Macaca fascicularis: one gene and its partners. The protein of the gene in region 3 interacts with the protein of the main gene of each other region in a pairwise test. Links are inferred from orthologs where the notes say so. Each region holds a gene or a part of one and is shown on either strand. Other genes may lie near its edges.

Region 1 (4,528 bases), on a different chromosome or scaffold from region 3:
CCAGGGTTTAACCATCACCTGGGGTCTAGAGATAGACCCTAAGTATCTATATCCCTAGACAACCACTAGGGTTGTTACTTTATTTTTTGAGACAGGGTCTCACTTTGTTGTCCAGGCTGGAGTGCAGCAGCACGATCATAGTTCACTGTAGCCTTGCACTGCTGGGCTCCAGTGGTCCTCCCCCCTCAGCCTCCCAAGTAGCTGGGACTACAGGTGCACATCACCACACCTGGCTAACTTTTCGATATTTTGTAGGGATGAGATCTCCCTATATTGCCCAGGCTGGTCTTGAACTCCTGAACTCAAGGGAACCCCTGCCTCAGCCTCCAAAGTGCTGGGATTACAGGCATGAACCACAGCACCTGGCAGGGTCCTTACTTTTTTCTTTCCAGGGACAAAAGGTACCAGCTGGGTGTTACTGGGGACTTGTTTCTCTTTGCTCCCACTGGGCCTCTCCAAACTGTGGGCAGAGAACCCTGTTTGCCACCTCGGCCCAAGCATTTGCTAAGATCATTGCTCAGGCCGGGCGCAGTGGCTCCTGCCTGTAATCCCAGCACTTTGGAGGCTGAGGCGGGCAGATCACAAGGTCAAGAGATCAAGACCATCCTAGCTAATATGGTGAAACCCCGTCTCTACTAAAAATACAAAAAATTAGCCAGGTGTGGTAGCCGGCACCTGTAGTCCCAGCTACAAGGGAGGCTGAGGCAGGAGAATTGTGTGTACCCGGGAGACAGAGCTTCCAGTGAGCCAAGATTGCTCCACTGCACTCCAGCCTGAGCGACAGAGTGACTCCATCTCAAAAAAAAAAAAAAAAAAACACATCATTGCTCATTCCTCGGTGGACTCTATCCACACAAATTCCACACAACCTCACCCTGCAGTGCATGGACCAATAGGATTCAACAATCTGAGGCTTTTTTTTTTTTTTTTCCAAGACGGAGTCTCGCTCTGTCACCCAGACTGGAGTGCAGTGGCGCAATCTTGGCTCACTGCAACCTCTACCTCCTGGATTCAAGAGATTCTCCTGTCTCAGCCTCCTTAGTAGCCGGGGTTACAGGCAAAAATACAAAATTTTTGTACTGTTAGTAGAGATGGGGTTTTGCCATGTTGCCCAGGCTGCTCTCAAACTCCTGGCTTCAAGTGATTCTCCCACCTCGGCCTCCCAAAAGTGCTGGGATTACAGGTGTGAGCCACCGTGCCCAGACAAATTTGAGGCTTGCTAGATTTGAAGTTGCAAAGTGAAAATTTTAAGTGTGCCCAGTTTTACGGAGAGTGGATCCACAGCTTTCACCACATTCATGGGCAATGGGTCCTGGACTTTCCAAAAAACCCTTTATCTGTCCAAATCAAATGCACTTAGGCTGGGATGCAACATTCTACTTCCGGGAATTCATCCTATAAAACGAATCCCACTGGTGAGCAAAGATATTCACTGGCTATTCATTGTAGTAATGGTAGCAGAAAATTCCGGTAAACAGAAATATCTATCAACTGACAACTGGTTAAATAAATTATGGTACACCTAATGGAATGAAATACAATGTACCCATTAAAAAGATCCAAGTAGGCCAAGCACAGTCGCTCACACCTGTAATCCCAGCACGTTGGGAGGCCGAGGCAGGCGGATCACTTGAGGCCAGGAGTTCGAGACCAGCCTGGGCCAAATGGAGAAACCCTGTCTCTGCTAAAATTACAAAAAGTAGCCGGGTGCGGTGGCACATGCCTGTAGTTCCAGCTACCAGGGAGGCTGAGGCAGGAGAATTGCTTGAACCCAGGAGGTGGAGCTTGCAGTAAGCTGAGATTGCACCATTGCACTCCAGCTGGGCCGACAGAGAGTGACTCCGTCTCAAAAAAAAAAAAAAAAAAAATCCAACAAGTGTGGAGTATGGTCTAGTGCAGTAGTCCTGGGGGACAGGGAAGGAAGGGAGGAAGGAAAGAAGAGAAGGAAGGAAGGGAGAGAGACAGGGAGGGAGGAAAGGAGGAAGGAAGGAAGGAAAGTAGAGAGGGAAGGAGATTGATTCTATTCCTCAGGGGACACAGGGTGATGTCTCAAGATATTTTTGGTTGTCACGACTTGGGGGTGCTCCCGGCCTGGAGAGGGTGGAGGCCAGGGCGCTGCTCAGCACCCCGCAGTGTCCAGGATGGCCCCACCACGGAGAACAATCCGGCCCCAGATGTCAACAGTGCTGACGGAGGGGTAGAAATCTCGCTCCAGTGTGACCTCCAAGTAATGAAAACCACAGCACACAGGATTCTGTGGCAAATGCTATCAGTGTACGTGTTTTTAAAGGAAAGGCACACACGTATCTTACGAAAGGGACATACGGAGTCGATGACAGTCCCTGTCTCTGGGGAGAGAGACGGGGCTGGCTGCCCGAGGAGCAGAGAGGGGAAACTGACTTCTCCCTCTACCTTTTCAACTTTGTACCTTGCCCATCCGGAGGATTTTGAACAGAACTGCTCTAGAAGCAATTTTCCCTGGCTCTGGGTTATCTGGCAAGAATCCTGTGTCGACAGCCTCGGGACTCCTCTCTTCCCCTTCTCTCCCCGCACCCCGCCTTTGCAGGGGAGGGGAGGAGGGGTGAGGTCCGCGTCCCTGGGCAGCCCCTGGGTGCCTCTCCCCTCCTCCCAGGGGTTCTGTCCCCGCTTCTGGAGCCCGCATGGCGGGCAGGGCCTGAGCCACCTCATCGCCCCCGTCCGTGCCTTGCTCTTCCCACCCGGCGGGGGACACGCACCAACGTCCCTACCTCGGTCCCTCCGGCCCCCTCCCGAGCCAGGTCGGGCCTGGCCCCCTCATCCGGGCAGCCTGGGGCCCAGGACTCGGCCCCTGCCTGGGCCTGAGCTCACCTGGCTCGCCTTGTAGAACTGCTTCTTCAGCCCCGCCACCGACATGCTGCCGCCTGCCGCCGAGCCTCCCGCCCGGACCGCGCCAGCGACAGGCTCCCGGGCGCCGCCGACCCTCTGCGCGCCTCAGCAGCCCCCGTCGGCGCCGCCTCCGCCAGCCGCTTGCCAGCTCCGCGCCCGCCCCGGCGCCGCCTCAGCCGCTCGCGCGCCCGCGCGGCCAGGATATTACATGGCAACCGCACGCTTCCGGTGCCGGCCCCCGCGCGCGCCCCCGGCCCCGTCTGCGCACGCGCGCCCTCTGCCGGCTGGAGAGCGCACGTGCACGTTGTCTGCCGCGGGAGACACCGCCTCTGTCAGTGAGTTGAGCGGGGGGAGCCTAGAGGGGCCGTAGCAGGTTCAGCGCCCTCTGGAGTCCCGGAGGTGACCCTAACGTCTTGGGAAAGGCGCTTAGTTTAAACCTGGCCAGGGAGGTTGGGAAGTAGAAGGGGCCTCTGCCTGGTTACGATTCTCCAGATTCCTGTTTGCTCATCTTAGCTAAATCTAAATCCAGTTCCTCTAAGTGTTCAGGCTCCCTCCCCTTCTTTCTTTTTTTTTTTTTTTTGCTTTTTTTCTGAGACGGAGTCTTGCTTTGTCGCCCAAGCTGGAGTACAGTGGCGTGATCTCGGTTCACTGCAACCTCCGCCTCCCGAGTTCAAGCGGTTCTCCTGCCTCAGCCCCCCGAGTAGCTGGGATTACAGGCGAGCACCACCACGCTCGGCTAATTTTTGTATTTTTAGTAGAGACAGGGTTTCGCCACGTTGGCCACGCTGGTCTCGAACTCCTGACCTCAGGTGATCCACCCTCTCCTCCCCTAGCCTCCCAAAGTATTGGGATCACAGGTATGAGACACCGTGCCTGGCCACCTCTCTTCCTCTCTCTCTGTCCTGTGTTCATCCATTCAGTTGCCCACGTGACACATGGAGACATCTAGGTCTGGCTTCATGCCCTGGCATGGCGGCCAGAAAGATGCTTCTAGAATGCAATTCAGGGTCGGGCGCAGTGGCTCACGCCTGTAGTCCCAGCAGTGAGGGAGGCAGAGACGGGTGGATCACGAGGTCAGGAGTTCAAGACAAGCCTGGACAACATGGTGAAACCCCGTTTCTACAAAAAAAAAAAAAAAACAAAACACACACATACACACACAAATTAGCTGGGCGTGTTGGCGCACTCCTGTAATCCTAGCTACTCAGGAGGCTGAGGCAGGAGAATCGCTTGAACCTGGGAGGCGGAGGCTGCGGTGAGCAGAGATCGCACCACTGCACTCCAGCGTGGGCGATGGAGTGAGACTCCATCTAAAGAAAAAAAGAGTGCAATTCAGATCACACCAGTCCCCTGTTTTAATTCGGCCTACCACCCTTAGGATACACTCCAGACTTCCTAACATATTTTACAAAGCCTGCATAATTTGGCCCCATCAACTCTCTCTGTCTCTGTTTTCTTTCTTTCCTTTTTTTTTTTTTTTTTGAGATGGAGTCTTGCTCTGTCGCCCAGGCTGGAGTGCAGTGGCACAATCTCAGCTCACTGCAAGCTCCAGCTCCCAGGTTTATGCCATTCTCCTGCCTCTGGGAGAATGTAGCTGGGACTACAGGTGCCGGCCACTTTGCCTGGCTAATTTTTTTGTATTTTTAGTAGAGACGGGGTTTCA
Region 2 (4,183 bases), on a different chromosome or scaffold from region 3:
CGGCGGCGGGCCCCAGCGGCTCGGCGCTCTCCAGCGGCGGGGCCTCGGGCGGCGGCGACAGCGGGCCGGGGTACGGGCCGGGCGTGCCCAGGGTGCCGTAGTACAGGCCAGCGAGCGGCGCCACCGGGGGCGCGGTCCTGAGCGCCTCCGCCAGGGGAGCCCCGTAGCAACCGCCGGGGTCCCGGGACAACTCGGTGGGCGCGTAGGGCGCGCGGAAGGCTCGCAGCGCGCAGTCCTCGGGCGCCGCGGGCGGTGGGAAGAAGGCAGCCTCGCCGGGCTCCAGGCCGTCCAGAGGCGAGCGCTCGGGCGTCGGCAGCCCCAGGCCGTCGAACTCGGCGCCCAGCGGGGGCAGCTCGCGGAAGGCGCGAGCCGAGCCAGGCGCCGCGGGGAAAGGCTCGGGCGGTGGCTGCGGGGGCGCTAATCCGGGGAGCAGGAGGCCGGGCTCCAGCCGCCGGGCCTTGCGCGCCTGCTTCTTGCGGCGCGGCCGGTACTTGTAGTTGGGGTGGTCGCGCAGGTGCTGCACGCGCAGCCGTTCGGCTTCCTCCACGAAGGGCCGCTTCTCCGCTGCGTTCAGCTCCTTCCACGCTTTGCCTGCGGGCCGCGGGCGCCAGTGAGTGGAACGCCGTCGGGCGGGTGGGCGCCGAGCCCTCCGTGCGCCTGGGACGCCCCGCGAGGGTTCGGCGCAGCCCCCCGTACACCGCGACCCCGGACCCCCGCGCCCCGCGCCCCCCGCCCCCTCCGGCCCGAGCCCCCCCGCCCGCTCCCCCTTCCGGCGCCCTCCCGCCGCTCACCCAGCATCTTGCTGAGCACCGCGTTGTGCAGGTCCGGGTTCTGCTGAGCCAGCCGCTTGCGCTCGTCCTTCGCCCACACCATGAAGGCGTTCATGGGCCGCCGGATGCGCGACTCGTCTGCCGCCTGGCGTTCCCCGCGGCCGGCCGGGCTGAGGCCATAGCGCCCCGGCTCGGGGCTGCGCGGCGGACTGCGCTGCGGGCTGGGCGGCGAGGCGGGCGCGGCGGGCGCGGCGAGGGCGGCGGGGGCGGCGGCGAGGCCGCGCGGGTCAGCGGCGGCCCCGTGTCCCGGGGCCCATGCACAGTCGCGGCGGGCGGGCGGGTCGTCCTGTGCGCCGTAGCCGGGCGGCGATCTCTGCATTCCAGCTGGGCGCGGCCTGGGCGGAACGGAGCGCGGGAGCGCGGCGGGCGGGCGGCGGGCACTGCGGAGCCGGGCGCGAGGGCGGGCCAGGCCGGGAGGGCGGACGGCGGTGGGGACGGCGGTGGCCTCGGGCCGGACGGGCGCCCAGATATAGCGGCTCGGGGCCAATCGGCGGCTGGGCGGGCGGGCCGGGGCGGGTCGGGGCCGCCCCCTCCCCGGGGGCTCCCTTTCTTCTCTGGCCGGGCGGGATTTCGCGGAGGCCTCCCCCGCGCACAGCCCCCCCACCTCCCCCGCCACCTCTCAGAAGGAGAGACCCCCGGGTGGGCAGGAAAGGGCTGCCGATGTGGGCCGGTGCTGCCAGACTTTCAGAGGCGAGCTGCCACCCACCCACGGAGTCGGACCCCCGGGCAGTAACGGGGAGGGCGGCAGTGTCCCGCTCGTTGCCGTTCCCCGCACCCCCCTAGGAGGCTCCATGGGGAGGAGAGGGCCCTTTTGCACACCAAGTTCTTGCGAGGCTGCCTTCCCAACAGCCGGTAAGTCCTTCCTGGAGCGCAGCGCCCTCAGAAAAGCCCCCGGCTTTGGAGAGGCGCTCTGACTACCCAAGGGCGCCCATGCACCACGTTCCTGTCAGCACCAGGGCCTTTGAATGCTTTTATGGGACAAGGTGGTCTTCGTGTTTCTGTCCTCACGCCCAAACCAACGCTGCCACAAGGCAAAGCTGACACAGGGAGGGAGAGAGCAGAGGCCCTGGACAGAGCCCACAAAGAGAAGGGGGAGCAGGGATGCAGAGGCTGTGGCCTCCTCCCTGCCCACCTCAGGGCCCTTGGGGAGGGGCCTGAGACCCACAGGGGCTGTCCGGCTCCCCTGCCCAGCCCAGGCCACCGCTGCAGCAAGAGGCAGGGCCGACCTGGGTCCTTCCCGCTGGCCCCTCCCTGGACCCTCTGACCTGGGGAGGGCCGGGTTCCAGAGGAGCGTCCAGCTTCCTGAATTTTCACTGTCCCCTTCCCACCCCATCAGGAGGGGATCTGGCCTCCAGAGCTGAGGGTCTCCCTCTGGAGGTCCTCCCCTCCCACTGCCATACGTGGTTCTACTGGAGGAGTGTCAGGTGTCCCCAGCAGCCCTCCAGGCAGGGTCAGAATCCCCCCACCTCACAGCACATCTCCTCATAGCCTGGAGGCTCCGCAACTGCCCCCCACCCACCCCTGTGCTGGGAGCCCCGTGGGTAGAGGCCACAGATCTTGGTGGCCTTGAGCCTGTGTGGCCAGCAGTTCTTGGGTCTCTGTCCCTGCCAGCCTCGCTAGGCCACATCCAGCCTGTGATGTGAATGGGGGGGGCCCTATGTGGGCCTTGCAGTGCTCCTCAGAGGCTGTTCCTGAACTGTCCCCAGGGGCGCTCCTGCCCTGAGGCCAGCACCCCCCACAGGGGCACCCCCACCGAGGGCTGTTGCGGTCGGTGTCCAGCCCTCCCCAAAGCCCCACATCACAGTCTGTCTCGACGCCCATCGTCCCAGCATGTGGGGCTGGATCTCCCAGTCTGGCCTCCAGGTCTCCCCTCACTCCAGTTTGCCCCACGGGCCTAGCACCTCGTTCACAGACACTGAACCAGTGCTGGCTAATGGGGGGCCCTTGGGGCACCAGGAGGTGTGGCCTCTGGCTTTTCTGGGGAGGCAGGCAGAGTTGTGGCCACAGGGATGGATGGGCTTACAGGCCTCTGCTGGGTGGTGCTAGTTCCCCTTCAATCTCAGTGTGGGTGGCTGGACGCTTGGCCAAGTCTGTGTGGGTGGGCCTCCTGGGCAGCTGGCAGGAAGGTGCAGGGGGGTGGGGAGCTGTGTGAAGACCCCCAAAGGGCTGCCACTTGGCAGAAGCTTCGTCTACTCACAACCTTAGGGATGGAGTCTGGGGTCACCAGGGCCTGGCTCAGCCTGGGCAGTGGCTGGTCACTGGGGCCTGGGAAAGAGGTCCTCAGGGTCCTCTGCAGCAGCCCTCACATGTTGGGAGAGATTTGCAGTTCCCTGGGGGCTCTGCTTGGTCCTCTGCCGCCCCTGAGAGCCCAGAGTCACTGGAGCTGCTCTAAACATAGTGGCAGGCAGTGTCCGGCATGACCTCATCGCCTCCTCATCCCCTACAACACCCACCAGCAGCCGCCTTGCCTGGCGCCAGCCAGTGACCCACCCTCTTGGCTGGGCTGTGGGACTCAGGTGTCCGGCCGTCATGTCCTGTGAGCCAGGGCTGGGTGGGGAGCCTCCTGGGGTGCTCCTTTCCCTCCACATGGCAGGGAGGAGGCGGCAGCCCCGGCCCAGTGTCCAGATGGGACAAAGTGAGGGTAGAGACCACAGTCAGGGTGGCGTGATCTGGAGTCGCAGGGCTGGGGGGACTCTCCAGGGCTGTACAGGGGATGGTGTGGGTGTGGCCAGCTGTGCTGAGGGAGGGGAATCCGATGAGTGTCTGTGCGTCTGTGTGTGGCCTGTGTCTGTCTGTCTGCCTGGGTGTGGGGTGAGGGGGACTCTGGTGCTGGAGGCTGCCCAGGGCCTTGGGAGCCAGGCAAGCTGGACTCTCCCAGGAAGAGATGAAGACCCATAATAGGTCCAGGACCAGGGGTCCTGCTCCGTGAAGGTTGGAGGGTCCCCAAGGCTTCTCTGGCCACTGAGCTTGGGCCCCAGCTTTCTCCAAAGGAGGGCAGGCAGTTCATGAGTCTAGGGGCATTCGTCTGCCTCTGGAACCCCACCTCAGTCTCTCCTGGACCAGGTGGGCTACAGCCCACCCTTGGGAGGGAGCCTATCTGTAGCCCCCAAACCCCAGTCAGAAAGGCAGAATTTGGGGGCAAGCTTTCTCTACAAGGGTGGGACTGGCCTGGGCACTGAGTGGACACTCTCCTGCCTACCACCTGCCCCTCTCCCTCAGCATGGACAGGAACTCGGCCTCCAAGTGAGGCCTGCAAAGGACGCTGGGTAGTCCCCCTCGGTGGCTCTGGGTGGGGGCTTGGCTTGGCACGGCTCCGGGCCGGGATGGCGGGACCTCCCAGGCACTGCCTGGGC
Region 3 (4,408 bases):
GGTCAGTAGGCACTCTTTCCTTCCTTCCTTCCTTCCTTCCTTCCTTCCTTCCTTCCTTCCTTCCTTCCTTCCTTCCTTCCTTCCTTCCTTCCTTCCTTCCTTCCTTCCTTCCTTCCTTCCTTCCTTCCTTCCTTCCTTCCTTCCTTCCTTCCTTCCTTCCTTCCTTCCTTCCTTCCTTCCTTCCTTCCTTCCTTCCTTCCTTCCTTCCTTCCTTCCTTCCTTCCTTCCTTCCTTCCTTCCTTCCTTCCTTCCTTCCTTCCTTCCTTCCTTCCTTCCTTCCTTCCTTCCTTCCTTCCTTCCTTCCTTCCTTCCTTCCTTCCTTCTTTCTTCTTTCTTTCTTTCTTTCTTTCTTTCTTTCTTTTTCTTTTTTAAGACAGAGTCTCGCTCTGTCGCCCAGGTTGGAGTGCAGTGGCGGGATCTCGGCTTACTGCAAACTCTGCCTCCCGGGTTCAAGCAATCCTCCTGTCTCAGCCTCCTGAGTAGCTGGGACTACAGGTGCCACCACCAGCCCGGCTAATTTTTGTATTTTTAGTAGAGACAGGGTTTCACCATATGAGTCAGGCTGGTCTCAAAGTCCTGACCTCAGGTGATCCACCAGCCTAGGCCTCCCAAAATGCTAGGATTACAGGCATGAGCTACCACGCCTGGCCAGTAGGCACTTTATGTCTATTATTTACTATTGTAGACAACTGACACTCCTTCCCCCGCCCCCGACCCTGACTTTTTCTTTTTTAGAGACGGGGTATCGCTCTGTCACCCATGCTGGAATGCAGTGGCGCAATAAGAGCTAAGTGCATCCTCGAACTCCTGGGCCTCAGGCCATCCTCCTGCCTCAGCCTGTGGGCTAAATGAAACTACAGGTGCACGCCACCACACCTGGCTGATTATTTCTAAATGATTTACTTCATCAACACTTCCCACATGAGTAGGGCACACAGTAGGCGCTCCATAAATACTTGTCAAACGCCTACACGAAGGAATCAATGCCTGGCAAGAATGAATCCACCTTCCACCATGCCTACCTCGCTAAAAACTACATTTCCGGCCGGGCGTGGTGGCTTACGCCTGTAGTCCCAGCACTGTGGGAGGCCGAGGCAGGCGGATCACGAGGTCAGGAGATGGAGACTATCCTGGCTAACACGGTGAAACCCGTCTCTACTAAAAATACAAAAATTAGCCGGGCGTGGTGGCGCATGCCTGTAGCCTCAGCTACTCGGGAGGCTGCAGCAGGAGAAGCGCTTGAACCCGGGAGGCAGAGGTTGCAGTGAGCCGAGATCACACCACTGCACTCCAGCCTGGGCAACAGAGCAAGACTCCATCTTTAAAAAAAAAAAAGAAACAAAAACAAAACAAAACAAAAAAAACTACATTTCCCTGTGCACTTGGCGCGACGCACTCCCACGACGTTTGAAAGAGCGACAATTACTTCCCACGGCCCCTTACCGCCCCCTCCCGCCGGTGCCACAGTGGTTGATGGGAAGGTAGTTTTTACGCACTTTGGCCGGCCCCTAGCCATCTGAACCCAAACTAAATTTCCCAGCAAGCAGCGCGCAGGCCTGGGAAAAGGGGCAAGATGGCTGACTCCGAAGAGGGTGTTTTGCCGCTGACGGCTGCTTCCACTGCCCCAATTTCATTCGGCTTCACTCGCACGTCCGCACGGAGGCGGCTGGCCGACTCGGGAGACGGCGCGAGGCCATCTCCGGAGGAGAAGGATTTCTTGAAAACCGTGGAAGGGAGGGAGCTGCAGAGGTGACGCGCCGGGTCTTTCACACCTTGGAAATCGCTGCGGTGGGCGTAAGCGGGAGGGAGGAATCTCACTCAGTCGTTTGTCTTGGTGACAGTGACCTGTTAAGCCTGAAGCACAGCCTGAGTAAATTCGTGGAGGCCAGAAGGCTGGAGTTTATAAGAGGGGTGGGGAAATTGGGCCTGATAGCCGTGGGAATTGCGAAGAGAGGATGTATCACTGAGAAGAAGTGTCTTTAGGACTTGAGGACACTGAGGTGTGTGCGTTTTGGGAGAAGGAAAGAATGAGAAAATGACAGGACCTGCTAGTGTCTCAGCTGAAGTGGTGGGGCTTCTCTGATATGGGGAACGGGATGGAGCGGCAGATTCAGGTTGATGGAGGCCACCATCAGCTTAATGAGGAGAGGAGAGTCTGAGGGAGGGATTTCCAGAAGAGAATCAGGCATCTGGGAAGCTGTTTGGGAACCTGGAGCTAGGGAGGGTCTAGGCTGAAGATAGTGATTTGTGGGCCATTGTGGAAGCCGGTCTTGAGTTAAACAGAGAGTCCAGGACTTATTTCTCGAAGGCACTGACATTTACGAGTTGGGGGCACTGGGGGGGATAATCCAAAGAATGCACGATCAGAGAGGTACAGGAGATCCAGACATGGAGTAGAGAAGGCATGGTCTGTGGGGCTGGGGTGAGTTTGGCTCTCGTGTTTTCTCTGAATAAAGGAGTGTGACCCACTGACACTGCCATTCTCCCAACCCCACCCCTCTGTGTCCACATCAGTGTGAAGCCCCAGGAAGCCCCCAAGGAACTCGTCATCCCTTTGATCCAGAATGGCCATCGCAGGCAGTCACCAGCCCGGCCCCCTGGGCCATCCACAGATACTGAGGCCTTGGCAGATGGGGTGCTGTCCCAGGCTGTGAAGGAGCTCATTGAGGGTGAGTGATGCCCCTTTACCCTTCCCCAGTGAAGGAAGAAGATGAAGAAGGTGGAAGGATAGAGTGGGACTTCATTGCTCCCTCCTATTCTTCCCTTAGAATCCAAGAAGTCTCTGGAAGAGAGAGAGAATGCGGGTGTCGACCCCACGCTCGCTATCCCCATGATCCAGAAAGGATGCACCCCCAGCGGGGAAGGGGCAGACAGCGAACCCCGGGCAGAGACAGTGAGCTGGCCCCTTGTCCCCCTCCTGCCCCAGCCTTTCTTTGCCCTGTCTGCTAGGCTTTGTCCCTGCACATAGCAGGGAAAGTCTGTGTGCTAGAGGCCCGCCACCTGTCCTTTCTCCTGTCATCCTTTTTGGAAGCATTACCAAATGAATCTGGATATCTGGATGCTAAAAACGTACTTGAATCCTAGGATTATCTGAATGAGGTGTGCAGCAAAGGGAACAGGAAATGTAAAGGCCCTGAAGGTAGACACTGCCTAGAGTGTTTGCGGAACACCAAAGAGACTAGTGTGACTGAAGTGGAATGAGTGAGGGGAAGGGATAGTAGACGAAGTCAGAAAGGAGATGGGGGTGCTAGACAAGGCAGGGCCTTGTAGGCCATTGTGAGGACTTTGGCTTTTACTCTGAGTGGGATGAGAGCCTAGGCAAGCCCTGAGCATAGATGAAATATGATTTATGATTTGACAGCATCCCTCTGGCTGCTGTGAACAGACTCATTAGTGAAGGTGGAAGCAAGGGGATGAGTAGTCCAGGCTAGAGATGCTGGGGACTTAGACCAGAGTGGTCTGGAAGGATAAGTAGGGTTTAGTGAGAGGGAAGAACAGAGTGAGTGTTCCTGTTGGTAGTAACAGCCCAAGCAATGGCATAGTGGCAGAAAATCGATGTGGTGTGTGTCCATCAGTGAGGCAACATGTGGTGTGTCTGGAGTGAATGGGAAGGAGTGATGATGGAAGGTGACGAGGAGATGTGAGAGGCGTGTCTACAGGAGTAACCAAGTCTGTCTTTCATACCCACAGACCTGACTTTTCACCTCTTCTTTCATAAATTTCTTGCATTGCTTCTTTGGAGTCTAGTTCTCCTACAGCCCCAGAACACTCTCTTTCAACTGAACTGTTCTCTTCAGCCTTCAGATGTGCTCTGATTTCCTTCAACTTTTTTTTGTTTGTTTGTTTTTTGTTTTTTGAGACAGAGTCTTGCCCTGTGGCCCAGGCTAGAGTGAAGTGGTACGATCTCGGCTCACTGCAACCTCCCGCTCCCGGGATCAAGCGATTCTCCTGCCTTAGCCTCCCAAGTAGCTGGGATTACAGACACGTGTCACTACCGCCTGGCTAGTTTTTGTATTTTTAGTAGAAACGAGGTTTCGCCACGTTGGTCAGGCTGGTCTTGAACTCCTGACTTCAGGTGATCTACCCACCTTGGCCTCCCAGAGTGCTGGGATTACAGGCATGATCCACTGTGCCCAGCTCCTTCATCTTTAAAGAAAAAAAAGATCCTCACTTCCCTCTTCATCCTTTCATCCTGTTCCAGCTTTAACCTCATTCCTCTAATTTTTCCCTCTATAAACCTCCTCCTGCAGCTTTATACATATCAGGTGACCAAAAATTCCATCCATCCTTCCTCTCACTCAGCATAAAAACCTTGGAGTCGGCCGAGCCTGTAATCCCAACACTTTGGGAGGCTGAGGTGGGCGGATCACCTGAGATCAGGAGTTCAAGACCAGCCTGACCAACATGG

The links.
Region 1: the proteins of GPKOW (region 3) and SH3GL1 interact in binary tests that used the Homo sapiens proteins (3 or more experiments, as listed by UniProt). The two-hybrid records come from large-scale screens. The link is inferred for Macaca fascicularis from reciprocal best matches to the Homo sapiens genes GPKOW and SH3GL1.
Region 2: the proteins of GPKOW (region 3) and TCEA2 interact in binary tests that used the Homo sapiens proteins (3 or more experiments, as listed by UniProt). The two-hybrid records come from large-scale screens. The link is inferred for Macaca fascicularis from reciprocal best matches to the Homo sapiens genes GPKOW and TCEA2.

What each region holds. Positions count from the first base shown.
Region 1 is NC_088393.1:5,136,204-5,140,731, forward strand, and holds the start of SH3GL1 (endophilin-A2), read right to left. Parts: upstream 3,040-4,528; 5' UTR 2,893-3,039; coding exon 2,848-2,892; intron 1-2,847. UniProt on the Homo sapiens protein: Implicated in endocytosis. May recruit other proteins to membranes with high curvature.
Region 2 is NC_088384.1:120,189,169-120,193,351, forward strand, and holds the start of TCEA2 (transcription elongation factor A protein 2), read left to right. Parts: upstream 1-1,379; 5' UTR 1,380-1,621; coding exon 1,622-1,682; intron 1,683-4,183. Other genes in the region: SOX18 (transcription factor SOX-18), read right to left, coding at 1-591, 792-1,149. UniProt on the Homo sapiens protein: Necessary for efficient RNA polymerase II transcription elongation past template-encoded arresting sites.
Region 3 is NC_088395.1:49,285,821-49,290,228, reverse strand, and holds the start of GPKOW (G-patch domain and KOW motifs-containing protein), read left to right. Parts: upstream 1-1,552; 5' UTR 1,553-1,573; coding exon 1,574-1,749; intron 1,750-2,514; coding exon 2,515-2,669; intron 2,670-2,768; coding exon 2,769-2,893; intron 2,894-4,408. UniProt on the Homo sapiens protein: RNA-binding protein involved in pre-mRNA splicing. As a component of the minor spliceosome, involved in the splicing of U12-type introns in pre-mRNAs.